Linked DNA regions of Danio rerio. The protein of the gene in region 5 purifies or fractionates together with the protein of the main gene of each other region. This does not show direct contact. Links are inferred from orthologs where the notes say so. Each region holds a gene or a part of one and is shown on either strand. Other genes may lie near its edges. The genes, in order: ripk2, chuk, ikbkg, cyld, map3k7, ppp6c and card11.

Region 1 (4,636 bases), on a different chromosome or scaffold from region 5:
TGAAATCTGCTGTAATGAAATCATTTTGTATTTTGCCTATACTTGGTAAATCTAGTTCATTAAGAAAATTTCTTGTCGCTTCCATTTTAGAGTTAGAAGCATCCGTATACAGTTGTTTATAATAATTTAGAAAAATGTCCTCTATTTTCTGTGGATGATAAACCAAATTATTTGTTTGTGGGTCTCGTATTCTATGAATAGTGCTATCAACTTCTTGTTTACGTAAGCGTCGGGCAAGCAATTTTGCTGCTTTAGGGCCGGATTCGTAGTATGTCTGCTTATAGAATCGAGCTTTCTTCTCAACATCTTGTTCCAACAGGCTGTTAATCTGTTTCCTTATTTGCTGCATACGTGATAGTAGGTTTGGATCCCTGTTTATTTTGTGTTGTTGCTCCACATTTAATAAGTCTGATGTTAGGGTATTGTACTCCTTAATTCTCTTTTTTTTATTTTGCGCTGATAGTGCAATCAAATTCCCACGCATCACAGCCTTCAATGAGTCCCATACTATGGATGGGTCTACCTCTCCATTATCATTTATCCTAATATATTCTTTTATATTTAATTTTATCTGTTCTGTATTTGCTTTGTTATTTAACAAACCCACATTCAACCTCCAACCTGTCTTTCTCTTCCTTCCTTCTATTTGAACTGTCAGGTACAAAGCGCTGTGGTCAGAGACCTCAGCTACTCCAATGCTACAATCTTTCACCCTATAACAGTCATTTTTTGGCATAAAAAAATAATCAATCCTAGAGTATGTACGGTGGGGAGCTGAGTAATGAGTGTAGTTTTTGAGAGATGGATTAATATGTCGCCAGACATCGCAGTATCCTATGTCATCCCAGGCTGTGTTAATTAATTTTGATATTTTGCTCCCATTTCTTTTGCTATTAGTTGTGTCTAAATGGTGGTTTAGTACCACATTGAAATCTCCACCACATATACAAATACCCTCTGCTTCCAGTACAATTACATCCATTAATGATTTGAAGAACAGTTTACTAGTATCGGGTGGAGCATACACATTTACTAAAGTTATTAACTCCTCTTCAATTTTACCCTTAACAATAAGATATCTCCCATCCTTTTCTTTTATTTCCTTATATAATTCGAATTTAAATTTATTAGCAACAAGAATAGCAATTCCCCTTCTATGTGAATGCTCATATGAATTGTAATAAGTATTTTTAAAGCCAAATCTCTTTAATTTCTCATGCTCTTGTTGAGAGAGATGAGTTTCTTGCATAAAAATAATATCTGCTTTCTCTTTTTTAAATTTTGTCAATACCTTTGACCTTTTAATTGGGTTACCCAAACCGTTCACGTTTAAAGACATTAGCTTAACCTCAGTAGACTGTACCATCATCAAAAAGAGTCATTCTTACACCACTATGTTTCCACAGGCAAACCTTAAATAAAATAAACTGTAACACAGAAACAAGCCAAGAACTGCTTAGAACAAGCATTATAACAGAAAAGAATAAAGACTTCCAAAGTCTGAAGAACGTTCTCACGTTTTCAGTTGAGGAGGGGGAAATCCTCTCTCCCGGAAAGGGCCCCCTCACCAATGAGTCCGCTACAGAGTGTATCATAGATCACTTACGTGTGTCCAATGGCACAGCTGACCTCGTCATCCCGCCAGCCGGCGCACATACATTAAACATCATTATGTAAAGGGTTGCTATAATGCGGGTTTTTAAACATTGCTGCGACCATGTTCAAATTCCCGTAGGCGTTCTTTAGCTCTTCTGGCAGTGTCCACACTCGTGGTTGATCCCACTCGCTGCCACGATGTAGCCCGCTGGAGACGATCCAACAGGTGGCTCTTACCCGGCGGTCTCACGGGCATCTCCACGCTGTATCCCCGCCGACGCAGCTCCTGCGCTGCCTCCCCAGCACTGCCGTACACCTGCACTCCTTCTTCCCAGTGAATGCGTATCCGATTGAAGGGCGTCTGAAAACGGATGCCCTTTTCTTTAAGAGCCTTTTTAATATTGGCGTACGCTTTGCGCTGATGGAGAACGGTGGCTGTATAGTCATGGTCGAAAAACAGCGGTTTATCTTCCATCATGATTTTCTTTCGCCAGGCTTTTTGAATAACCATCTCCTTGATGCTGTACTGCTGGAAATTTACTATAATGGACCTCGGACGCGAGTTTGGGCCCGGTCTAGGCGCCAGGGCTCTGTGCGCGCGTTGTATTTGCAAGTCCACATCGCCGAGCTCAAATTCGGAGCGGAGCATTTTTTCAACAAATTCTATCACCGAGCCTTGTTCAGCGTTCTCTGGTACACCATGGATCCTGATATTGTTTCGTCGAGCCCTCGATTCAATATCGTTCAACCTGTCTTCTAGTTTCTGTTGATCCTTTATTGCCTGTTGAAGGGCGGAGTTGGCCTCCGCACTCCATGTTTCGGTGTCATCGATCCGCGTCTCCATCTCGTTAATTTTCCTACCGTGTTCTTGCATGGTTAGCATGTTCGTTGAAAGTTGCTGGTTAACTTCTTGTTTGAACTCAATGAACTCTTCTCTCATATCATGCTTAATTTCGTCTTTGAATGTTTTTAAGACTTCCTTAAGTTCCGACTTCAGATCGCTGATCTGTTTGCTTAAGGTTTCAAGCCCCGTGGACACATTCTCAGATGTTGATTCGCCTCCATTTTGTCGGTCCTCTTCTTCCCGCATGTCGTCCTCCTCGTCTAGGCCTGCACGGTGTGGGTGGTTACTCGTTGTACTTTGCGCCCCTTTACCTCTGCCTTTCTTTCCCCCCGTCATATCAATGAAGGAAAATCACTTTTTAAAAATCTAAAATAATTACACGGGGGTAAATATAACGCCGACTTGCGAGAGCTAAGCGCTCAACCTGCCATTTCCCTCTGCAGCCAAACCGGAAGTCGGCTTCTTGTACATTCTGAGATCCACTTTATATCGGTTATCACTCAGACAGTTGAGGTTGCTGATTTTTAAAGTAAACAGACCTTAAATGCGCCGATATTGTAACAGTATACAGTTCAACGTTAGTGCTTGACTCAGGTTACTGACTAATTAAAAGTCATTCTGCATATACCTTATTAGTGCTGCTGGGCAAAAATTTAAATCGTATCCAAAATAAAAGTTAGTTTTTGACTTGTGTCTACTGTTTATATTTATTATGTATATATGAATACACACATGCATTCATATATTTGAGAATATGTTTATTTATATTTAGATATAAAATATATGTATATGTAACAATTTATTTTTATTCATTCATTTTCCTTTGGCTTAGTCTCTATTTGAGAGGTCTTCACAGTGGAATGAACTGCCAACTTTTCTATGCTTTACGCAGCAGATGCCCTTCCAGCCTCAACCCAGTACTGGGAACCACCCATAAACACTCATTTACACACGCAGTCATACACTACGGCCAATTAATAAATCAAATTCACCTATAGTGCATGTCTTTGTACTGTGGAAGAAACCGGAGCACCACGTCAACACGCGGAATACACGCAAACTCCACACAGTAATGCCAACTGGTCTAGCAGAACTCAAACCAGTGACCTTGCTGTGAGGCGAAAGTGCGAACCACTAGGCCACCATGCCGCCCCTAACAATTTGTTTAAAAATTGAATTATCCATGTAACAAAATTTTGTATCATTTTGTTTTTATGTGTGTCTATCACATATAGATGATTAATATATTTAACACACAATTATAATGATAAAACTTTATTTTAGATACGATTAATCTTTGATCAGCACTCAATTTAATTTAACTAAAAAAATATAATAAATAAACTACAGTGTGTATGTGAAGATTCAGCTCAAAATACCCCACAAATAATGTTTTGTAACCATTCAAAACTGCCCCTTTTAAGTTTTGATTGAAATTGTGCCGCTTTGGTGACTGTCGCTTTAAATTCAAGTGAGATTGTGCTCTTTTCAAAAGAAGGCGGAGCTACATATGCCTACCTGCTTGTTAAGTGATTACGTGTTGGTGACGTATGTAATACTCTTTCCGGGTCCAAGCAGCCATTCATTTGAGTGGATTATGCCCATCACGCATTAAAGTTAATTTTATATAAAATCATAGTGTACACAACAATTTCTGGGCTTGCTACATAACAAATACCAAAATTTTAACAATTTATAAAAAAACGAATCACTTTCTGGCCATCGGATATTAGGCACGGACATATATATAGCGATCGTGATTTTCGAAAGTATTAAATCGCTTTGAAAACGTTTATTATTACCATTTCATGAGTCTCCCTATTCAGTTGAATAGAGCGCTTGGACCCGGAAGCCGCTTCGCGTGATGTCACACTTAATAAGCAGACAAGACTTACATCCTATGCTAATGAGGAAGAGATGGTCACTAATAGGTGTGGCTTACCCCCTCTGATAACAAAGTGAGAATGTCGATATATATATATATATATATATATATATATATATATATATATATATATATATATATATATATATATATATATATATATATATATATATAGACATGTCACACAACACATGGACATGACCTCAATCATTTTTGTTGATGTATACATACCATACATACATACATACATACATACATACATACATACATACATACATACATACATATATATATATATACACGTACATATA
Region 2 (4,090 bases), on a different chromosome or scaffold from region 5:
TCCTGCGCACTGCGTTTCAAGTGCAAAGATGCATTCTGTGTGAATGTCTACCCAATCCGTGCATGTGGTGAACATTTTGCAGTAAAAACTGGTTGCACACAACAATTTTATGCTCTTACACAAATGCTCCCAAATATATTTTGAGGTCGCATAGATAAAATTGTGGGCGCATATGCGACCAAAATGGTCACAATTTCAATCCCTGGAAATGCTATGGAAAAAAAGCTTTTTACTGTTTTTTTGGTTTTATTATTTTATATTATTGTTTTTATTTCTACATAACCAGACATATCTTATATAAATCTAAACCTAATGTAAAAACCATTAGAACACCTATAGGAATAAAACTTGGAATATTGGTGTAATTTGTACTGTAAGGAAATTTGGTGTAAGTGATACTGGAGTAAAAACAGGGATCACTACAAGTGAAAAACTCATTTTGAGGTAACAGCCTTAAAAAATATGTTATTAAAATAACAATGGTATTTTTTTCTATAATTATAAATTAGTATAAAATAAACACTTAAAATTGCATTGTGGATGTTTTTTTTCCCATGAGTACAAAGAACAATCTCCAAAATCTCAAAACTGACAGGTATTAGACACAAAAAATTCCCTGCATCTTAATAAAAAATCTCCAGCATATGAAAGTGTATGTGAGATTATTGCCATAACTGTCATATTTCTAAATAATGCAGGTTAAAACATACCAGATATTGTAAAGTCCCCACAAATGAAGTGCATAAGCTCCCCTGGTCCAGGTCTTTGGCATAACCAAGGTCGATTATCTTGTGAACAAGCTGCATAGACAACAAAACATAACCCATGTTTGAAAAGCATGTCTATAGAATAAAATTCTAACCACTAAAAAGTAAATACCTTTCCATTAATTTCTTGCAGCACAATATTCTCTGGCTTGAGATCCCTGTGTATGATCTTATTCTCATGAAGGTACTGGATTCCAGAACCTATTCAAAAGAAAACACTCAGTTTGACACACAACCCTCAGCTATTGATGGTAAAAATACTAAAAACAGAAGCAACAGGCTTTGACACATTACCAACATCATTGAGTAGAGACAACACCTCACTCTCTTTCAACCCACAGCAATTTTCAGGTTTGCTCAACAACTACAAAAAAAGAATTAAAAAACAGAAATGAGTCAGAATGAACTTAATATAAGAGCACATCTGACAGATACAAAAGAAAAGCCTATGGTCACACGCACACACCTTACGAAGATCTCCTTTGGAACAATACTCCATGGCTAAAAGTGGTAAATCATTCAAGGCAATGTGCATCATCTCCTCAGGCACATCCTTTGCTGTGACAACATTAAGGTGCTTTAGCCTTAGAAGTAGGATAAAAAAAGATTAGATTAAGTAATGTAACAATTAAAGGTGTACAAACACACAATATTAAGACACTTATGTACTGTAAATAAGGATCATGCTGCGGCCTCAAACCACTGATTGAATGTATTTTGATATGCTTAAACTTTGCTTTATCCTTCTATACTTACTATGTGTTTAATCAGGTAAAAATGTAGGGATGTAGTGCAATCACTTAAATTTTATAAATATTTAAATAAGCACAGGATAGAACAAATATATTCTTTAGTTAAATAAACATCTATTATGCTAAATAATTATTTCAATTCCTGAAAGTGTATGTATGTAAAAAATTGCCATTACAAAAACAAAAAATGTTCAACCAGGTTTCAGTACGAATTGTTAATATTTGTTTTTTCTTTTAAGGTCTGAAAGGATTTTTACCAAGATTTCAACAAAAAAGCAAGTTCTTTTCATTAAATAGCATTTGGTCAAGATTATTGTTAAGACAAAATTTTATATCTTGACCAAATATACATATATTTTACGTGTATATATACACGTAAAATTCTCAAAACAAATAAATCATTTGATTATAATAGATGTACACACTTTTTCATAATCTGGATCTCTCGACTCCATCTGTCTTTGTTTTTTGAATTAAGCTCAAGGCGACAGAGCTTCACAGCTATTTTTTCTGATGTTTCCTGCAAGCAAAAAAAAAAACTGTATTACCAAGAGTGAAAACTCCAACATTAGTCTTTACAAGTAAAATAAATAAGCAACAACAAAACATCTATAGTATAAATAGTAAAAATAAAAATAAAAACGTTGTACCTGATTCTGATACAAATAGACATGGCCAAATCCTCCTGTTCCAAGCCTCTCCTTCATAACCCATGAGCCACAGACCTGATTCTGTCTGAAAGGGGGTTTCTCCATCTGTACACATCAAACATTTCATCATAAGTTTATAATACAAAATCACTGGATTCCACTTTGTGAAAGCTGCTGCCGTTTGATCTATGTACATTGGGCCCTATTGAGGAAACTATTACGGGCTTCTTCGGTGTAAACAATACAAAAGAGGATTCATAAATACGAAATATTCATTTGCGTCATAATATTTACTTAGACATTAGGGCACTGCTAGCAAGCGAGCTAATCCAAAGTGTCAGCCGGTGACTTACCTTGCGTCCGTTTGTGTTTCTAACTTGCTTTAACCAGCCACATATAATGTGGAGAATTCAGTGAGCTGTAAAATGAGCGAATTAATCCATAGGAAACGGCAGAGCTGTCCATTTCATCCTTAAACGAGCTATCGGGTCGGATTTTAGATTTGCTAACTGGCTAACTAGCTACACGTAAACATCTCGACATGAGCAGTTAGCTTGCAGTCTCACATGCCCCCAAATGTCAGCTTTCCATAACACTGGGCACGAAAAAATACCAGATCGCAAGTGAATTTCTAAAAAACTAAATATTTCTGGCCTGAATTATGATTAAATACAGTATCACTGACTGGCTCACTTATATGTTAACTGTTGTTGACGGCGGCCACGCCAGTCAGCTGCTACTCCAGTCAAAAGCGAAACAATTTTCACGCACGCGCAGAGCGTGAAAAGACGCCCGAGTTTCTTGTGGCTGATCTAGGATCGGTCGGTCTTAACAGATGCTGTATGCATGGGCAAAGTAAAGTTCTTGGAGCTGAACTCAGGACGTAGGAACTTGTCACGAAAACAAGGTCGGTGACCTGAATTTCTTCAGATCTTCAAATGATAATTTCATGTGAACTGGAAAATTTGTTCCGCAATTATTCTCCTCACACCTGCTTAATTTGGAATAATGGAAATATACCTCTTCAAACACAAACACACACACACACACACACACACACACACACACACACACACACACACACACACACACACACACACACACACAATGGTAATGTTATGGTTGTTACATGACTGTATTTATTATTATGTATGTATGTTTAAAACCAGCAGAATATACTATATATTTGACATGTCATGAACTTACTGTTCTTCAAAAAAATGCTCAATAAAAATTTCCTTAAGACAAGAATGGGTATTGTTTTGGTCTTTTTTTTTTTGTCAAACTACTGTAGGTTTTAAGTTACTACAGCAGATATAGGCTACCTATATCATTATATTGGTAGTCAGAGTTATTTTAATGACCCAAATCGAGTAAAATGTCTCCTACTCAAGTACTTTTTGCATGCAAAAGTCAAATTTACAGTTTTCAACAACAAAATTTTGTCTCGTAAAAATGACCAGTGGGGTGTGAGAAAAAAGTTAATGTCGAGATATATATTCTATATAAAAGAAGTTGAACAAGTTGTCATAATATTTAGTCATAATGCATTTTTCTGTACATTTCCATTAGACGTTTTTTTTCTAAATCTATAATTGGTAAATTGCTCCCAGGTCAATCTAAAAATGAAATAAATTAGCCGTATAGCTTACATGAGGACGTCCATCCAGAGTACGCTGTTACATTGACAACATGAGTAAGTAATTTGACTGTCTTATCCGTACACAATGACACAAGGACTTGTCATTCTGACGGCACTGACATGTTCATTGAGAGATGAACCAAGCACTTTAAGCAAGAGACTGGCCTTTGCAGGTAATCCATGCTGTTTGGCTATTTGTATGTGCTGTTTTGAGAAATGCACTTACTGCTTAGCAAATTTCAAATCTGAGAAGTTTACCAAAGCGACTGAAAAAAAAAC
Region 3 (4,559 bases), on a different chromosome or scaffold from region 5:
TAAAAATAAATAACATTTTGCAACACATAAATGTTTATATAGCATTTATGATTGATGAAATGCAGCCTTTGTAAGGAGAAAAGACTTCTATTAAACATCAACAAAAACACCCTGTTCAGTTTTTTGACTGGTATTACAGGAAATCATTTAGACCTACCACGTAGCTGATGATTGTCCGTTATGAGTTTCTGAACGATTTCATTTCCAGCTAAATCAGCAGGGACCCTCAATGAGCCCTGTGAACTGGCCATGAGTGAGACTTGACCTTCTGAACCTGCGGTCTCTTCTCCGTTCAACTCATATTGCAGAGTGCAGCCACCGGACGGCTGCGGCTGGACCATGATCCTGACAGACACAACAAAAGACCGCATTGATCATCTACAGCTCTTAATCACCAAGACTACTGCAGTGCTTTAAGATTCTTGGATGAAAATATTCAGATAAATTTAGAATAATTTCTGCGGTGGATAAATAATAATGGTGATAACACTTTACAATCAGGGTCCCATTTGTTCATGCTTTAACTAGCAATGAGTAATACGTTTATTATTACTATTTAGGAATCATTGTAAAAATAGTTTTAAAAAGTTTTCTGAAAAGAAATTAATGGTGTACGCATTTCAATTGTGTATTTCAAATCATTGAAAACATGTAGTACACTTTATATCAATTATGACCTGTATTTGTGACTTTTGCAATTGAATTCATAAATATTTGTTATCTCTGTTTGGTCTAAAAATTTTACATTGCTTGCACGTAAACACAAAACTAAAACAAACAAGTAAATTGAAAAAGAAAAACTTGCTGCCTTAACTGTTTAAATGAAAATTAAATGAACTTTTGTAGTCATCTTAACTAAATTAAACTTAAATTAAAATCAATTAAACTGACTAAAATGTATAAAAATAAACTTTGTATAAGTTACAATATAATTGAAAGCTGACTAACTAATTAAAATAAAAGCAACATAAAAATATATGTTGCCTTGACTTTGTTATTACATTTTTTACAGTGTAAGCAGGCTAAACTTAACAGCTTAAATACAATCAATAAAACTAAAATGGAAACAAAACTCCATATATTAAAATGACATATGCACCACAAAATTATTTTATAATAACTTTACATTTAAAGTTCTATTAACTTATTTAAATTGTTAATAAAATAACAATTGTAAAACATACTAAAGTTGAATAATTATACAACTTGTAATGTTATTAAAATAGTTAATAGAATTAGTTAGAATATTAAGACAGTTAGCTCGAATCCATTGAATAATATTAAAGTGACATTTCACCCAAACCATTTCTTCACCCTCAAGTGTTTCTAAACTTTTATTAAAAACATTGACATTCCTAGTAGAAAAAGTGAAAGTATGTCAATGGCTGCTTTTCCCAGCATTCTTCAGTATATCAAACTCAAACAGATGTGAAACAAGTAGAGGGCGAGTAAGTAAATGTTTACAAAATGTTCATTTTTAAGTGAACTACCTTGATTTCACTAATTTATGTGTAAATGTTTTATAAATAAAGCCTAAAATTTCATTTAAAAAAATTCAGTTCTGCACAGGAAGTTTGGGCAGAAAAGAAATGGTTGTGCCCAACTAAGCCTGGTTTCTCTAAAGGATTTTTTATTTTTTTCATTCACTTAATTTATTTAGTAAAGTTTTGTTCCTCGTCATTGCTGCCACTGGCTTGCTTGGTTTGGGACTTGTGGAGCTGCGCATCAAAGGATTAGCTCTTCAGTGTTTGGACTTTCAGCCATGAAATTTAAACCACACCGAACTAAACTGAACCAACTCAGAAGACTGGACTGACAGTTTCCATTTACTAGAACTGCTATGTTAAACTACTTTGACACAATCTACATAGTAAACGCGCTATAGAAATTAATTGAATTGTATTCAGAGTAAGCTCATGTTATCTAATCCTAACAAATGGAACCATATTGTAAAATGTTACCAGTAACCACATTTTGACAATATGTAAATGATAATACCTGTACCTGTTCATGTTACTAGCTTTAACATGTAAAGCTATATCATTTTATACATGTCTCACGTTCAATTCTGCTTTTACTGTTTCACTTTTCAACAAGACACAGATAACTTATGAGTCATTCAATGACACTTTCGCCATATTAACGACCTCTAAAACATTTGAAAAGAAATATCAAATATCAAAGTTGAAAACAAAGTCGATGTCATGATATCTCGCTGTCAAAACAAAGATTATTTCACAAGTTAAAGACAAACGCGCGAGGTTTAAAAGACTGAGGTAAATTTGCACATTCATTCACTGATAACTTGTAACACTGTCCCCATATTGTTTACCACGCTACTTTGAATATTAAGTCTGAAATAGCATGTTAGTATGATTTAAAAACAACATTAACAGTTAGCACTATGTCATTGACTGTGTACAATGTTGTACTATGATCATCTTTGTCTACTTATTATGATTTTCCCTATTTAGAATTCGCAAAGAATACTTTTCTGAAATTATATTATTAAAGAGAAAGAACGAATATAAAAACAATTTTACCTCAATCCTCAAAGACACTTTAAGTCCAATACTGTGATTGAAATTAGCAGTTATCCGATATACGAGACTCGGTTTTGTTTTGTTTACAGGCTCGTGATGGACGCGCTCAGCTAACAACACAACTAGCTTTACCGCATTTAAACCAATAAACATTTAAAATCACACACTAACACGACTCACATTCATTACATACACATGAAGACATTGATAAACATATCGTATGATAAAATATGAGAGTAATCACTACCTTCTTTACGCCGTTAACAGTGTTTTGACTCTGCGCTAGCACAGATTCACTGTCTGTCGGTCTTCCGCCGAGGAAACACAGGCAGGTTTAAAGTCAGCCACGGACGCTCAGGTAGGCCAACATCTTCAACACCACCGAGCTGGAAAGTCTGAATCGAGAATTCGAGATTGATAAAGTATATCAAATGAAAACGTCTAGAAGAGTTCAGACAGGTGCCCACACTGTCGAGGAAATCCCCCGTGTACTTCCGCGCTGCGTGCTGTTTCCGGGTAGGGGAATTATGGGAAGACAAAAATGACAGCAAATAAGTTAGTCAAAATGAAGTTATTGAGCGATGCCTTCTTAAAATTAGGATTTAACTGTTTTCATGTCTTCAGGATATCCATATACGCTTACTTTTCTGAAAACCCATATGTTAATATATTTCACTTTTGGAAACCTTTATGTAGTTTTTTTTTTTTTTTTGCAAAAAAACAGTTGACAACTTTGTAGCAATATTTGTTTACAATACAGAATATGAATTACATTGTCAATGAAAAAGAGATACGAGAGAGTAAGAGAGAAGAAAAAAGAATAAAGAACATGATATAAACTTGAGGGTAAGACATTTAAGAAGCAATAACAGAACATAAATTAAAGTCATTACGAATTGAAATAGTTCTGTTTGTTTTTTTATTTTTAGAAAATTAAAATAAATGTATATAATGACTAAATTTTGCAAAAAAAAAAAGGAAAATATGGTTTAGTATTAGTAAATTAGCATTTGTGGATATGGAATTTACAAAGAAAATAAATTAAATTTATAACAAAACAAGCATTTCTCTTAGTAGAGGCAGATTCATAACAAAAAATAATTTCTTTAAAAGTAACAGAAACATTGTATTGTATATTATCATTAATAAATGAGCCAATATGTTCCCAAAATTGTAAAGCATAATTACACTCCCAAAATAAATGAAAAACTGTTTCTGTATAAAATTGACAAAATGAACATTTTACATCAATATTAGCATGAAACTTTTTCAAAAATAGTTTTATGGGATAAAATTTGTTGATCAATTTAAAAAAATTGTTGATTCAATTTATTTATCTTCATTGACCTTGTTGGTGAGAAAATATTTTTGATTAAGCTTTATGTAGGGTTGGGGATGTTTTCATCCACTTGTAAGGTCCAGCCAGTTGGTTCAATGACGGTATCCAATGGTGGATGAAGGTTCACTGCATGTTCGGTCTTTCCAGTGCACAATGTTGATTTATATTAAACTTAACTCATATCTGACTCCAATTTTAATATGAGGTGGTTTAGAATATTAATATATTTATCCTCGTTTTATCTGACTCCAATTATAAAACATTAAGAAGATTATGTCAATATGTAATTTAGATAAATGTTTGAACCGTTTGTCTTCACTAGTAACTATTACATCCGTTCATTCGGGTGCTCATGTCGCTCAGAGAAATCGCCTTGGCCGAAGGCGTCCCTCACGGTCACACTCCGGTCAGTCTTGAATATTAAACAGAGGTAAATTGACTAATACTTTAGATGGCTGCTACCAGCGCGCTCGTTCTAAAATACTTTAGTTAGTCCCGCTTAGATGTACACCTTTGAGTTAAGACAATCATCATTTCTAATTAGAGGTTAGGGCATTAATATAAATGTACCCGACTACTGGACTCTATAGTAACTTTGGTTTTCACCAAGCCCATGGTTTCCCATATGAACTTAATTTAGAATAATATTACCTTCAAACAAAGGTCGGGTACCCAAT
Region 4 (4,090 bases), on a different chromosome or scaffold from region 5:
AATTAGGCAGGTTGAGATATATAGGAAAGCTACAGTATAATGATGGTTTGTTCTGTAGATCGGAAAGAACTATATATAGATTAAGGGGCTAATAATTTTGACCTTAGAATGGTGTTTAAAAAATTTAAAACTGCTTTTATTTTAGCCGAAGTAAAACAAATAAGACTTTCTAAGGAAGAAAAAATATAATCAGACATACTGTGAAAATTTCCTTGCTCTGTCAAACATATTTTGGGAAATATAAAAAAAAAAACGAAGAGGGGCTAATAATTCTAATTTCAATTGTATGTATGTATATAACTGAAGGGTCCATCATTTTTATATGATCTAAAACAGGTTGCCAAGTGAGAAAAAACCTATCAGTACAACCTCTTACAGTGTATCATATTTTTTCTACTGTCAAGTTCCATAAGCCATTTCTCAAAGGTTGAAGGATATTTTTCTTCCATTTGAGCAATATTAACCTTCTAGCTAAAAGCATAGCTAAGCCAATCATATTTATCCAACTTTTATTAAAACATAAGGACTGTGATGTGATACCAAATATTGAAGTTATGGCCTCAGGTTCTATATAGGTATTTAAAGCATCAGAGAAAAATGTAAGTATTACAGTAGCTGGCAGAAATCCTTTAATTTTGAACAAGCCCAAAACATATGAGATGCATATGAGTGTAGCTGGCTCAATTTTACATCTGTCACGATTAGGCTCTATATTCAGTTTAAATTTGGCTAGTTTCACTTTGGACCAATGTAATCTGTGTACTACTTTAAATTGTTTAACTGTATGTTTTAAACGAATTGAAGAGGAGTAAATATTATCTAAATGGATTGTCACATGTCTTCTGATAATTCTATCTCCAGTTCTGCCTCCCATTTTCTTTTTAATTGCACTACTAGACGTTCTAGATTATAGGAATTATTTATGGAATATATTTTGCCAAATAGGTCCCCTTAGTATATTTAGTATAGAAGACACAAATTTCATTTTTCTGATGTAAAATTGGCAGTTTGTTCCACTGTGGCGACCCCTGATGAATAAAGGGACTAAGTTGAAGGTAAATGAATCAATGAATGAATAATGTAAAATCATTTAAAATATAATTTATTCCTGTGATGGCAAAACTAAATTTTCAGCATCATTATGGCATGGTCATTCAGAAACCATTCTAATAGGCTGCATTGGTTCATTTAAGAATGCTAAAAATAATTGTTCAAAATTATGTTTGGCATTTTACATGAAAACCGAAAGTTTTAATTGTTCTTCCATCTTTTTTGTGGAAATCGAGAAGCATTCAGGATTCTTTGATGAATAGACAGTAGAAAACAAAAAGGGTCATTTGAAACAGAAAATAAACAAATGTAACACACAATTTCTTGACAAATAGTATTAGTTATTAATTATTAAGCAAAATGCCCTTCTGATCCCAAATTCTTGATTAGTAACGTATTAACCTTCCTTAATAATATAGTTACAGTTTATCAAACACACACGAATGTACTAACCAGCTCTAGTCCAGCTAGTGACTCTTGTAGTCCTGGAGGGAGACCAACCCACCGGATGACCCCACACAGCGGTGGGTTCTCTTTGACCTCCACCATTGACCCGACCTCTAAACCTGGCTGGCCTTGTGGTGGTGATGAAGCCCTCTGCAGAGGTGTAGCAGCAGGCAGGAGCTCCGGCTGCTCCCCCATCACTGAGCCGGCGGATAGGGAAAGGGGCCCATGGCTCATGCTGCCATTGGGGCCAACTTTTCGGCTCAAGCTGAACGGCAGCGAGTGGAACTTGTTGTCATTGGACAGCGAGGTGGTGGTAGGCGGAGCTCGAGATGGAGATGAGCTTGGGTTGAAGTCTGGCGGCATGTCGGTCAGGGATTTGGCTGGGTCTTCGCCGACTGTTAAGAAATAAGGTCATAGAAATGAGAGGCTGCACTGAAAATGTCATGATGAGCAGATGATGCATCAGTGTGGAGGACCAGGAACTGATCATTCAATCTGAATTCATCTGTGATAATCACAGCTAATGCTATGAATTGATAATGAAAAGCGTGAATTGTGTTTGTTCTTAAAGGAATAGTTCACTCAAAAAACATTTCTGGGCTCATTTACATACATACCCTCCACTTTTCTGTAAGATAAAAAATAAGATATTTTGAAGACGGTTGGAAACAGGTAGACATTGACCATAATATATATATATATATATATATATATATATATATATATATATATATATATATATATATATATATATATATATATATATATATATATATATATACAGGGCTGATAGTGGAAAAAATTCCTGAGCCTGAACTTTTTTTCCTTGCCCCTGAGGTGAGTAGGGGTGGGGGTACTATGTATGCAACGCACTTTTAACACATAACTTGTGGGCCCCTGGGCCCAAATATATTAACAGCCTATGTGTAACCCTGATCATCATTATTGTCAAGTGGCTCTTTTTAGACACATGCCAGTGTCAGTGATCTTGTGACATGTGCCAGTAGGTGTCAGTATAAGCACGTTATAAGCACCTTAATCTTATAAGTCTCTTTGCTTTAATATTTAAAAATCATTAGACAAATGACACCTGTTATCTTACATGCATATATGTTATGAGTTTTCAACATGCATTTTATTAAAACTTTTTAAAGGATATTATTTAAAATACCTTAAAATGAAAATAAGTTAAATAATAAAATAAATGAATGAATTAAAAACATAGAGAAGTCCATATTGTAGGGAACAAAGGAACTGCCAGGATGCAATAATATACAGTACAACAGATAAGTGTAACCCCTCCCATACATAAGCATGCCACAATAAATTTGACTGACATGTACTGTCAAATGACTATATTACGTACGGAAGTATGACTACGAAAACATAAAATAAATGCGTTTAAATTAAAAGAGTAGCTCAGCAAATAAACTAACTTGCGACGCGATAAATTAGGTTAAAAGTCGCGTAATGATTAAATATGGTTTTGCCACCGGAAGTGTCACTACACTCAGTGGCATGTGCCAGTGTCATCTGTACGTCAGATGTCGTGTCACTCCATGTTAAAACTGCTACTGTGAAACCGCGTTCAAGCGCACACAATAAGCTAAAACTCGCCCCAAGCACCGGCAAAAACAAATAACCATGAATGTGTCGAGGAAAGAGTAAGGATCATATCATAATTATTTATTAATAAACTTATTCTGAGTCGCAAAGATCCTGACTGGCAATCTCCTCTTGGACTCGCCTTTAGAGAGAAGTTCATCTTTACGGATTACATGAAGGAGTTTTTTCGTTTTCGATTTGTTTTATTTCGTTAAGTAATAATTTAAAGCTTTCTATAAATATATTTATTATGTCTGTGAGGCATATACATTTTGCTTCATTTTGTTAAGCGCTCCTGTTCAAAAACCTGACGACAGAAAGCGCATAATTTTGGTTTTCTTTATTTTATAAAAACGCTGTAACGTTTTTTGATGTATTACTCGTACTTTGTGAGCTAAAATGACGGATAACTTTAAATTGCTCCCACTGAAAAAATGCAAGTGATTGCTCTGGCGCCGCGATGTCCTGCAAGCTTTTTATAAGCAAACTATGCGCCCAGGGCCGTGCAGAGACCATCCAAAGGGCATGTGCAGGAGAAATTTTTTGAAGAGCGGGGGGGGGGTAGTTGTTGCGCGCGTTTTGAAGAGCTGGGGGGGGGGGGGGGGGGTTGTTGTTGTTGCGCGCGTTCTGAAGAGCGGGGTGGGGGGGGTGGGGGGGGGGGGGGTTGTTGTTGCGCGCGTTCTGAAGAGCGGTGTTGTCGCGCGCCTACTGAAGGGCGGGACCGAGGGTGTGCCGCGTCGCGGGGGCACTTTTGATCATTTTGGAAGGGCACTTTCTATCCAAGACTTAAAAGGGCATGTGCACTGCACAGGTTGAGCCCTATGTGTGCACGTGCCTGTATGCGCCTAATAGCACACATTCTTTAACGTTTAAGCTACCATTGTTTTATACTTGAACTGTTTTATATCTTTTATTTTAGGCAAGTCGTGATGATCTGAGAAGGCAAACTGATCAAACAGACAATGATGGTCTTCCGCTGGGCGCTGTT
Region 5 (4,090 bases):
ATGAAAAACACACACAAAAGTGAATGTAACTAAATAAAATATAAATCTAAAAATGATAAAATTAGCTTTTGTATGAATCTTAAAGCCACTTCACTTTCACATTCTTGAGGGCCAACACCTTTTCGAGGGGAATAAGGCAAACCCCTCAGGGAATTTTGGGATGTGGAAGGGGGGAAATATGACATTCGAAAAAATCTAATTTGTTCCTTTAACATCCTCCATCTGCAGTTCTGATGTAAAATGCAGGAGTCCTTGCATTTGTGTTTGCTGGTTTGTCTGGATATCTGAAGATCTGCATGTTTATCAGATGTCCGACTGTATTTTTTATTTACTTTTTGTTCTGCCAAACGCAGCATGCTTGTGCAGTTGAGCGCAGGGTCTTGCTACTGTTTGCATTGGTGGAAATGACCCATGTTCTCCTGCTCTGTGGAGCACAAGTCCTACAGTTTCCATCTTCAGAGATTTCATGGGTGCATAAGGGTTGTTTTAAGAGGCGCTATAATGGAGTTTCTGGGTCAAACTATAGCTAAGCCCCAATGTTTGGATTGGGGAGGTGGAGATACCGGGGCTGTGGTTAGGATAGAGTCAGTCTGGCTCTTTTTAATGATTAGAGGGTTCATGAGGTGCCCTGTCTCTTCTGCTGCTGCGCTCGGATCAGCTCCAGTTGTTTCTTGCATTGCTGGTAGTAGGTGGACAGACTCTTGTTCTCCTCTATGAGCTTCTTTTGCTCCTGAGCGAGGCGACATGCGTTCTGTTGATCCTTTTCATCTTGGTCTAGTTCTGCTATCAGCTCTTCCCTGTAGAGATGGACAAAAGACATTAGGGGATGAGGGAGAATGGGGAAAAAACAAACAAACAATGCATATACTTTAGCTAGGCCCACACAGAATCTCCGCACACAGATTTCTGCAGATTTTTAGCCAATTTTTAAGTCTATGTATTTATTTGTGTGCAAATTTATATTTATTCAGTTTTTAAATTAAATTCACTTATATTATTGTGATATAATATTAGTAACATTAATATATTCATATGATTTGTTTACAATACACTTTGTAAAGTAATATTTTCTGTAATTTAGTAGATATATTATATGACAGACTTGCTTTGTTTACCAAATAAGTGGATTTAAACATTAAATAATAGTTATAAATGTATTATTTTTTTTATTTCATATATTAAGTTTTTAGTTACGATTCTCCTAAAATTCCACATAAATCTGTAGATTTTTTACAAAATTCTCCACAGAAATAGCAAAAACGTCCACAGATTTTGTCCGGCCATGCCTATGGCTAAAAATACAAATACTCTGGTTTTTAGTTGTGATACATTGAAATTAAAAGTCTTGGTTAAATAAATAAATAAAAGAATCAGGACAAACTGAAAACCAAAACTAAAAATTCTTTATTTTAAAATAGCCTTTTATTTTTAATGTATTTCATAATGAACACTGGCAAATGCAGTTCTTTTATTAACAGTTTGAATGACAGAATCGTACCCAATTTATTAAAAATATATATATATATTCATCAAATTCTAATAAAACTTGTTTTCATGGTAAAATTTTACAATAAAGATGTTTTAATTTACAGTATAGTTCTTCCATATTTAATCTAAAAGCAAAATGTAAATACAGTGGGTATAGAAAAGAATCACCCCCCTTCAAAATATTTACATTTTGTTGCATTGTAGCCTGGAATGAAGATAGACACAGTTTTGTTTTATCTAGGTGTAATTATTCAGTACAATGTATAACATCCATGTAAAAGATATAACACCAACAACAGGAAGCATAGAAACAGAATTCACTCAGTTGTGAAAAGGATCACCCCCCTCCTAAAAAATACTTGTAAACTCAATCAGATGTAGCTAATCACCTTCTTAACGACACACAACACAATTTAACTTTCATTGGTGGTCAATTTGATCAGCTCAGCATGAAAATAGCTTTAGTGTAACATTTCAACCCCAGGTAGTGCAACTAAAGCAAACCATCAACTATGGGTGGCAAGGCATTGTCAAAAGATCTCTGGGATAAAGTTGTGGCCAGGCACAAGTTAGGAGATGGATACAAAAAAAATCAAATGCTTTATCAATGCCTAGAAGCACAGTGAAGTCCATTTTTAAAAAGTGTAATGTATTTGGTACAACACAGACCCTCCCTGAATCAGAACGTCACTCCAAACTGGATGAAAAAGCCAGGAGGAAACTGGTCAAAGAGGCAACCAAGAGGCCTACAACAACTCTGAAGTAGTTGCAATATTTTATGTCAAAGAGTGGTCATTGTGTGCATGTGACAACAATATCAACGATTCTCCCCAAATGTGGCTTGTGTGGGAGGGTTGCACGAAAAAAGCCTCATCTCAAGAAAAGCAACATAAAGTCAGAACAGAGCTTTGCCAAAACCCACCTAGAAGCCACATGAAAAAAGTGTCATGGTCAGTGACTAAAATTGAATTATTTGGCCTTAACACCATATGATATGTATGGCAGAAATTCAATGCAGCTCACCATCCAAACAACACCATTCCTACCATAAAACATGGTGGTGGAAATATCTTGTTATGGGGTTGTTTCACTGCAGCAGGAACTGGAGAACTTGTCAGGATAGAAGGAAAAATGGATGAGGTAAAATACTGACAAATTCTTAAGGAAAATCTGCTGCCCTCTGCCAGAAGGTTATCAATGGGAAGAAGGTTTACCTTCCAACATGACAATGACACGAAGCACACAGCAAAACTGACCACACCGTGGTTGAAGGAGAAAAAGGTGAATGTCCTGGCATGGCCAAGTCAGAGTCCTGATTTAAAGCCCATTGAAAATCTGTGGAATAATTTGAGTACTGCAGTCCACAAATGGACACCATCAAATTTAACTGAACTTGAACAGTTCTGCAAAGAGGGGTGGGCTAATATTGCAAAGTCTAAATGTGCAAAGTTAGTAGAAACGTATCGCAACAGATTAAAGGCTGTATTTAAAGCAAAAGGTTATTCAACCAAACGCTGAAACAAGAGGGTGATCCTTTTTCCAACCAATTAATTTTGTTTTTTTATATGTAAATTTTTTTTCTGACATTTTGGTGTTATATCTTTTGGTTGGGTGTTATAAGCTGCACTAAGTAAATACAGTTAGATTAAACAAAAAATGTGTCTGTCTTCATTTCAGGCTACAATGCAACAAAATGCAACTATTTTGAAGGGGGGTGATTGTTTTCTATACCCACTGTAATTGTATAAAGAAAAAAAGGATCTATGTATGAAAATTAAGTACATTTCATATGTAGGTATTTAAATAACATTTATCACATCTTGTCATTATATTACAATTATCAAGAATGATCAATGATAAAAAGTTTGGTTATGTGGTAATCCCAGTGTTATTTACGTATTATTATATACTATTGCATTTTATGTGAATATTTTGTATTATCTATAATTTTTATATTGTACAATTGTTAGTTTTGTTACTTCTTGTTAGTAATTCTGACATGAGTTTTGCCTTCCTATTCTTACTTTGATTTGACCATTTAGGAATAGCTATTTTTGTTTAAGTTTTAATTAATCTGCTTTTCCAGTTTAATATTTTAATACTTCAAACACATTTCACTCAATTATAAAAAGGTAAATCTTAAAATTTTATACAAAAAAAGTCCAATTTACAATGTGTTTTACATATTTAATTTCAAATTTATATGAATGGATATGCAAAGTGTGTAAAAGTTACTGATGAAAACCCCAATTCGTATTATACATGCTGATTATTTGAATGGATTCATATTCCTCTGACTTACTTTCTCTGTTTGAGAAGTGCGATCTCTGTCTGCACCTTCAGGTATTCCTGTGCCATTTTACAGTGCTGCTCAAACACTGCCATCGACTCTTTGGAGTTTGGACAAGGGGCAAGAGGCTGCAAACAAACACAGATTCATTCATCAAATGTCACAGATTTTGGCTAATTAATCAGAAATGCAAAAGTGATATTTATACCCTTCGTGGACTGAACGCCAAGGTGATCAAAATGTCTCTCTCAATTTGCAGCAATGCATTTATAACCCAATTACACCATATAAATAGCATATAAAACTCTAACC
Region 6 (3,386 bases), on a different chromosome or scaffold from region 5:
TATATATATATATATATATATATATATATGTGTGTATATATATATATATGTATGTATATATTTATCACACAAACACACACACGCTACGGCATTTAAACCATCATAAAATCTTTTAAGTGGTAGTTTGTCTGACTGACTTATCTCAGTTGTTAACTTGGGCAGTGTTTGCCTTTTCCCCTAGCGTATTACTCTGAGTGCAGTACCCCTAAAAAAGTCAGTGATCTGAGAGCCAACCTGAGACTGATGTAGTTCAGAGCAGCTTCTTCTGTTTCAGCTCCTCAAGAACGGCGTCTCCGGGTAGCGCGCGCTTGTAAATCTCTCCCCGACACAAATCTAGACATCCAGTGCGGTGGCGCACCGTCATTTACATCCAACTCATTCAAATCACCCTCCCAGGGAAAAGCAGGGAGTATCTGCCATTCGGCATCTGCTGCGGTCGACGGTTCAGTCTGGCCAGTTGAATTTTCATTGACTGTTTTGTGGCAACCCGCTCAAACTAGCGTGCTTGTCAGATTCCCTCCGGTCTGTTAGTGACGTTCAAGGTATTTCATTGGTTGGCTGCGGTGTCAATCTGAATACAACTTACACTTTGAGGCGGGACTAGCGTAGAACTGCCTTCCACGGTTCTGCCTGTTGGATGGACAAGGGAGGAAGGCGCGCCTCCCTATGGTGTGTTATTTTAGTGCATTTAAACTTGTGTGTGTAATTAAATATTTCGATTGATTAGGACACAACACCAGAAATGTAACTTAATAATAAAGGCGTTTATTCTCAATATTTAATTGGTAAATGGGCTGCCGTTTTCTACAATAATAAAATACAACAAATCTGAGAAAAAAAAGTTGATTAAATCAATACAATTTATATTAATGTACAAAATAATCACAGCCTTCTTTGTCCTGTTGTCTAATCATTGCTTCAACCCTTTTCAACACTTGAAAGCTACGAAAAACAAAAGTGTCTTTGTCTTGGAGAAATTGGGAGCAAACTGACCAGAACATAGCTGTTTTAGTGACTCTCTTTCTGGTCTGTGCTCTGAAAAACACAAACACCACATTGTTCTGATCAGGCGAGGTGTTACACTATAAATGCTTGTCATTAAATGGTCAACGGCTCTTAGGTCTACATTTAAAAGGCCTGCAAGTACAGCATGGGGATGTTCACTTCATTACGCTCACATTAACAAGATTATACTGACCGAATAACGACCAACTTAAAACATTTTCAACAGGGTTCAGAACTGTAACCATAGTTTTCTGTTGTTATTATTGAGAGCACTTCCATCTTTACAAAAATATTTGTTAAAAAAAAAAAAAAAAGCAACACAGAGAAAATAAAGACAATAAAAGAGCTCATGACAACCATGAAAAGGAGAGGGCGAGACATAGGCAACAATGAAGACCTCAGAGGAAATAGGGTGTTGTCGTTCTCGGTGGTATGACTCTTTCTGAGTCAGGAACGGCCCGGAATAACTTGGGCTCCCGTGTGTTGACGTCTTTGAAGACCATGATGGAGGCAATGTTACCGCAGCGGTAGCAGTAGTTTGGGGCCGACCAGACGGTCACCAGCTTCTCATCAAACATAAATTTGTAGCCCTCATGAACCAATTGATGTGCACGGCAAATCAGCTTCAAGTTGTTGATGTGAACAAACTTTAACAGAAAAAAACAAATAAAAAGATTTAGGTTATGCATGAAGTGAGGTTTTTACTTTTACTACAATCTCAGACACTGTGCACTAGAATGTACATGCAGATGCCAACTACTAAGTCTCCATCTTTATTACTTAGGCAGTGAGTATGAGCCACACAAAAACTCAGTTTCTGCATAGTTCAAAGAAAATTGACAAGGCATGGGATGATAAGCAGTTTCAGGGTTTACCATGGTTTGATTTTAAAACCGCTAATATTTACTGTCGTACCATTTCTAAGGTATATGCAAGCTTTTTTTAAATGTTTTTTTTTTTGTGTTTTGTAAATTAATCTGTGTTTTTGAAACATATGAAGAGTGCAGAGGTCAATGGTGCATTTTAATTATTTAGCCTGACATGTTTAGTGTTCCAAAATATTATAAATGTCTACTAAAATTAAATATTTTGTGTTTAATACGGCAAAAAAAAAATTAAAGTTAACTTATTTTAAAGCAGTAATCGCAACAACGTGAAACAGTGGTATTTTTATCCAAGTTTATCGTACCGTGCAAAACTTATACAGGCCCATGCCTAGAATCAACAAATAATTAGCAGACCTCAATCTGTAATTACAGAGCAATAGTATCTTCCATAGGGAAGTGTTATAAAAGCCAAAAACAAAGCAGACTGTGCACTTTGAGAGCGATTTTTACCTCATTAGTGACCTTAGCACCAAACAGCCAGCCAGCTCCTCTTGGACTGATAGCCCAGGTGTCCACGTCCTCTGGGTCGGACCAAACAAGGTCACAAAATGCTCCCTTGTGAGGGATCTCCTGATTGCGTTCAATGGTGCGTATCTGGTCCAGAGTTTTGATGTCAGGTGAAAGGCCACCATGTACACAAAGGATCTGCTCATCTATCAACTGTGGGAGAAACAAACAACAATTATTAGATAATTGACAAGTTAAACTAGCCAATCGATATGATTTTTAGTTTGAAGCACTGAATATATTGCAACCATTTTATGCTAGTTCTGCAATGATGTATTGCAACAATAAATAATATCCCGAATCTGTGTAATTTATGTACACAATTGAAAAAGATCAATTGATTTGTTTTTAATTCTATAAACTACTAATGACAGTTCTTTCCATTTAAAAATAAAAAAATATTCAGATTCATAGTATCAAAAGCCATTTGAAATAACATTCATAATCAATAAATCCATTGTATGTACATGCTACAGAAGCTACCTAATTCATAAAAAAAAAATAGAATCAACTACAACGAACCAACTGTCTGTTGTTCTCTATTAGGTAATATCATGTTCTCTACTTGAGCTCTATACCTCCCCCAAAAGCATACAGACACAGTGTGATTGGCTGTGCCTTTCCCTGCTGTCAAGTAAGTGGCTGCTACTGTACGTTTGGATGTTCGCAGCTCCAAAGCCGCAAGAAAAATTTCCAGTGAGCCTTACAGTGCAAGACTCAGGGGAGACATGGACATAAAGAGTTACTTTTCAAAGTAAAGTCACTTGAAGTCAAGTTCGCTACAAGTCCACCAAAATAATAATAATAATAGGTAACCATGGTTGTGCAATTAATCAAAATTTAGATTCGACTATGACCTCCACAACGATTTTAAAAATATTTTGGCTCATAGGCCTCATATTTGTAAAAATGTGTTCAGACGTGGCGCTTAGTGCTTTCGCACATAAACCCTCAGTGAACTACAGATGTGAACCTATAGTGGTCTCA
Region 7 (4,090 bases), on a different chromosome or scaffold from region 5:
TGCTGGTTTACAGAGAATCATCACTTGTATGAGCAGCAAGCCAGGAGAAAGACAACACAAGGACTGCCATATTTAAATACACAGCAGAAACACGACACCACAAATGATGGAGCAATGAACCATGCTCAAACAAAGCTTGTCTCTTATTGTGACAAACAGCCACATGTCAAGAAGCGAGATCTGCTGTAAGTCCGCCGTTGTTTACCAGACCATTTGCATGCCACGTGTAATAAAGCATGGAAATGTGAAGGGAACTGCTTCCCCACTCTATTTGCGTGTGTCTACGTTTGAAATAATGAACTTTAGTATGCAAAAGATACTGTACGATATGTGGATGACGTTGATTGCAACTCTCTGGTGCACACCATGCCTACCAACTAAGAATACTAGTGACAGTGGAAATGAAAGCCTGATCGAGGTGAACCATACTGTACTGTACTATGCTGAACCTTACCGCTCAGTGTAAATGAGAAATAGGTGTACCACCTTATATCAAGTGACTTTAACTACCATGTGCTTACATGGATCATTTGGTGCAATGCACTTATTGTGTACATACAGGTTTTATTTTGAACCGATATTTTAAAGATCTGCACGCAGTTACCGCTGTAAATATTTTATTTAATTACATATGACTACCCCATTAACCTATCCTTTACACCAGGGGTCTCAAACTCAATTTACCTGGGGGCCGCAGGAGGCAAAGTCTGGGTGAGGCTGGGCCGCATAAGGGATTTCACAAAAAAAAAGTCCTCAAATGTCATTATTAACAGTTTTAATTATTTCTTCTGAACATGAAGTGTCCTGAACATTAATAGAACATTGAGTGAAGATTATGAACAGTTCTTCTGAACATGGCATCTTTTGCCTACTCTTTGCTGCCAGAGACTTGACAGCGCTTCCTCTCACAAATCTGAACCACATTTGGCTTTAGAGCGGAAGCAGTTGAGACCCTCAGTATGGCTTGAAGATGATCATCATTAAGTCTAGACCTGTACTTTGACTTATTGAAGTCCTAGGGAAAAAAGTATTGCACTGAGGGCCGCAAGTGGCCCGCGGGCCGCGAGTTTGAGACCCCTGCTTTACACTTTACCCACCCATAAACCTAACCATACCACCAAGCCTATCCCTAACCCTAATCTTGCAACACAATATGAACACAAATCATTCATTTACCGATGTTAGTACATAGTAGTATATGATTATAACCTCTGTTTGACCAGTCAGTGTAATTGAGAACTAGTTCTTATTTATATTAATAGCTATAAGAAGTGGGAACTGAAAAAAGCACCAATAACACCATATACAGTGTATCCGGAAGGTATTCATAGTGCTTCAATTTTATATTACAGCCTTATTCCAAAATAAATTAAATTCATTTATTTTCTCAAAATTCTACACACAATACCCCATAATGACAATATGTATATATTTATATATATATATATTTATATTTATTTTTTATTTTTTTAATTGTTGCAAATCTATTAAAAATAAAAAACCTGAAAAATCACATGTACATAATTATTGACAGCCTTTGCTGTGAAGCTCTAAATTGAGCTAAGGTACATTTTGTTTTCACTGCTCATTCTTGAGATGTTTCAGCAGCTTAATTGGAGTTCACCTGTGGTAAACTCAGTTGATTAGACATGACTTGAAAAGGCTTACACCTGTCTATATAAGGTCCAAGGGTTGATATTGCATGTCAAAGCACAAACCAAGCATGAAGACAAAAGAATTGTCTGTAGATCTCCGAGACAGGATTGTCTCAAGGCACAAAAATTTCTGCTGCTCTGAAAGTTCCAATGAGCACAGTGGCCTTCATCATCCGTAAATGGAAGATGTTTGGAACCACCAGGACTCTTCCTAGAGCTGGCCGGCCCTCTAAGCTCAGTGATCGGGGGAGAAGGGCTTTAGTTAGGGAGATGATCAATAACCCAATGGTCACTCTGTCTGAGCTCCAGTGGAGAGGAGAGCCTTACAGAAGAACAACTATCTGTGCAGCAATCCACCAATCAGGCCTGTGTGGTAGATTAACCAGACGGAAGCCACTTACCGCCTCTAATTTTCCAGAAGGTATCTGAAGGACTCTCAGACCATAAGAAACAAAATTTTCTAGTCTGACGAGACTAAAATTTAACTCTTTGGAGTGAATGCCAGGCATTACGTTCGGAGAAAACCAGGCACCGCTTATCACTAGACTAATACCATCCCTACAGTGAAGCATGGTGGTGGTAGCATCATGCTGTGGTGATGTTTTTCAGCAGCAGGAACTGGAAGACTAGTCAGAATGGAGGGAAAGAAGAATGCACCAATGTACAGAGACATGCTGAATGAAAACCTGCTTCAGAGTGCTTTTGACCTCAGACTGGGGCGACGGTTCATCGTCCAGCAGGACAATGACTCAAAGCACACCACTAAAATATCAATGGAGTGGCTTCACAACAACTTGGTGAATGTCCTTGAGTGGCCCAGCCAGAACCCAGACCTAAATCTTATTTTTGGAGAGATCTGAAAATGGCTGTACACCGTCGCTTCCCATCCAACCTAATAGAGCTTGAGAGGTACAGCAAAACACCTAAAGACAGGTGTGCCAAGCTTGTGGCATCATATTCAAAAAGACTTGAGGCTGTAATTGCAGCCACTGGTGCATCAACAACGTATTGAGCATAGGCTGTGAATACTTATACGCATGTGTTTTTTCAGGTTTTTTATGTTTAATAAATTTGCAACAATTTCAAAAAATCTTTTTTCACACTTTCATTATGGGCTATTGTCTGTAGAATTTTGAGGAAATAAATGAATTAAATACATTTAGGAATAAGACTGTAACATTAAAGATTGTGAAAAAAGTGAAGCGATATGAATACTTTCCGGCTGCACTGTAGTATACTTGATATGTCAATTATATGTTATATTGTACGAGTATGGTAATTATATAGCACCTTCTGATACTATTAGTGTACCACCAAGGTGCTTACATATTATTATTTATTTATTTATTTATTTATTATATGTATTAATTATTATTAGAAGCAACTGCTTAAAATGGGATTTGGAAATGGGATTTATTGCAGATACTCATCCCACAGGAGAAGCAGGTGCAAGGCAACAAACAATTTTAAAACATGGTCATAGATCTTTTATATGTGCAGTATTTTAATTTAAAAGTGTCTCACCGACTATAGTGGAGCATCTGCGTGTCGGCTCCTTCCCCGTGACCAGTTTGTAGAGGTCAGGGTAATACAACTCAAGACTCTCCAGAAAAACCACATAGCCTCGCTCTCCCTTCGTGTGCAGGATATCCAGCAGCCGGCCTGAAACAAAACCACAAGCAAAACTAAAAAAGTATACAGAGTAATGTCTTAATGTCGACTTTATTAAGGTACTTTATATAGTACATGTTCGACAAAATTGAAGTCGCTTTTAATTTAATTAAATATGTACTGTAGGTTTTTTTCATGTCATGTCAGTTAAAAAAATAAATGCCAATCAAGTCAAAAGTAAAATTAGCAAAATTGTATATCACTAAATTTAGCTTTTCCAAAAAACATCAAATCAATAAAATTAGGGTGTTTTGTTTGCAATGTTCCCCAATATGATTGTTCCCAAATATGATTATAATCCCCCATTCTTGGAAAATAATAGATTTCTATACTACTGCAACAATACTGCATTTTCTAATCATTATAATGTATGTATGTATTTATTTATGTATGTAATTATTTATTTTCACATATATTTACTTCATTTAATAAAAAAGTCTTCAAAGTGGGTGGCACGGTGGCGCAGTGGGTAGTGCTGTCGTCTCACAGCAAGAAGGTCGCTGGTTCGAGCCTCGGTTGGGTCAGTTGTCATTTCTGTGTGGAGTTTGCATGTTCTTGCTGTGTTGGCGTGGGTTTCCTCCGGGTGCTCCGGTTTACCCCACAGACATGCGCTATAGGTAAATTGGTTAAGCTAAATTGGCTTTAGTTTATGTGTGTAAATGAGAGTGTATGAGAGTTTAGCAGTTGGAATGGCATCCGCTGTGTCAAATGCGCTGGACAAGTTGGCAGTTCAATCCACTGTGGCGAACCCAGATTAAGAAAGG

The links.
Region 1: the proteins of map3k7 (region 5) and ripk2 purify together in Homo sapiens (affinity purification with western blotting; 4 studies listed by BioGRID). This does not show direct contact. The link is inferred for Danio rerio from reciprocal best matches to the Homo sapiens genes MAP3K7 and RIPK2.
Region 2: the proteins of map3k7 (region 5) and chuk purify together in Homo sapiens (affinity purification with western blotting; 9 studies listed by BioGRID and IntAct, with this or other methods). This does not show direct contact. The link is inferred for Danio rerio from reciprocal best matches to the Homo sapiens genes MAP3K7 and CHUK.
Region 3: the proteins of map3k7 (region 5) and ikbkg purify together in Homo sapiens (affinity purification with western blotting; 8 studies listed by BioGRID and IntAct, with this or other methods). This does not show direct contact. The link is inferred for Danio rerio from reciprocal best matches to the Homo sapiens genes MAP3K7 and IKBKG.
Region 4: the proteins of map3k7 (region 5) and cyld purify together in Homo sapiens (affinity purification with western blotting; 4 studies listed by BioGRID, with this or other methods). This does not show direct contact. The link is inferred for Danio rerio from reciprocal best matches to the Homo sapiens genes MAP3K7 and CYLD.
Region 6: the proteins of map3k7 (region 5) and ppp6c purify together in Homo sapiens (affinity purification with western blotting; 3 studies listed by BioGRID and IntAct, with this or other methods). This does not show direct contact. The link is inferred for Danio rerio from reciprocal best matches to the Homo sapiens genes MAP3K7 and PPP6C.
Region 7: the proteins of map3k7 (region 5) and card11 purify together in Homo sapiens (affinity purification with western blotting; 3 studies listed by BioGRID). This does not show direct contact. The link is inferred for Danio rerio from reciprocal best matches to the Homo sapiens genes MAP3K7 and CARD11.

What each region holds. Positions count from the first base shown.
Region 1 is NC_133177.1:7,877,236-7,881,871, reverse strand, and holds the start of ripk2 (receptor-interacting serine/threonine-protein kinase 2), read right to left. Parts: upstream 2,895-4,636; 5' UTR 1,607-2,894; intron 1-1,606.
Region 2 is NC_133188.1:28,581,442-28,585,531, reverse strand, and holds part of chuk (inhibitor of nuclear factor kappa-B kinase subunit alpha), read right to left. Parts: intron 2,645-4,090; exon of another isoform or gene 2,523-2,644; intron 2,275-2,522; coding exon 2,170-2,274; intron 2,040-2,169; coding exon 1,945-2,039; intron 1,352-1,944; coding exon 1,234-1,351; intron 1,132-1,233; coding exon 1,062-1,131; intron 969-1,061; coding exon 880-968; intron 801-879; coding exon 711-800; intron 1-710.
Region 3 is NC_133198.1:21,496,676-21,501,234, forward strand, and holds the start of ikbkg (NF-kappa-B essential modulator), read right to left. Parts: upstream 3,034-4,559; 5' UTR 2,791-3,033; intron 346-2,790; 5' UTR 342-345; coding exon 158-341; intron 1-157. UniProt on the Homo sapiens protein: Regulatory subunit of the IKK core complex which phosphorylates inhibitors of NF-kappa-B thus leading to the dissociation of the inhibitor/NF-kappa-B complex and ultimately the degradation of the inhibitor.
Region 4 is NC_133182.1:37,739,124-37,743,213, forward strand, and holds part of cyld (ubiquitin carboxyl-terminal hydrolase CYLD), read right to left. Parts: intron 1,893-4,090; coding exon 1,504-1,892; intron 1-1,503. UniProt on the Homo sapiens protein: Deubiquitinase that specifically cleaves 'Lys-63'- and linear 'Met-1'-linked polyubiquitin chains and is involved in NF-kappa-B activation and TNF-alpha-induced necroptosis.
Region 5 is NC_133195.1:26,768,686-26,772,775, forward strand, and holds the end of map3k7 (mitogen-activated protein kinase kinase kinase 7), read right to left. Parts: intron 3,907-4,090; coding exon 3,791-3,906; intron 798-3,790; coding exon 617-797; 3' UTR 339-616; downstream 1-338. UniProt on the Homo sapiens protein: Serine/threonine kinase which acts as an essential component of the MAP kinase signal transduction pathway. Plays an important role in the cascades of cellular responses evoked by changes in the environment.
Region 6 is NC_133180.1:32,608,104-32,611,489, reverse strand, and holds the end of ppp6c (serine/threonine-protein phosphatase 6 catalytic subunit), read right to left. Parts: intron 2,553-3,386; coding exon 2,343-2,552; intron 1,653-2,342; coding exon 1,404-1,652; 3' UTR 746-1,403; downstream 1-745.
Region 7 is NC_133178.1:40,598,129-40,602,218, reverse strand, and holds part of card11 (caspase recruitment domain-containing protein 11), read right to left. Parts: intron 3,318-4,090; coding exon 3,180-3,317; intron 1-3,179. UniProt on the Homo sapiens protein: Adapter protein that plays a key role in adaptive immune response by transducing the activation of NF-kappa-B downstream of T-cell receptor (TCR) and B-cell receptor (BCR) engagement.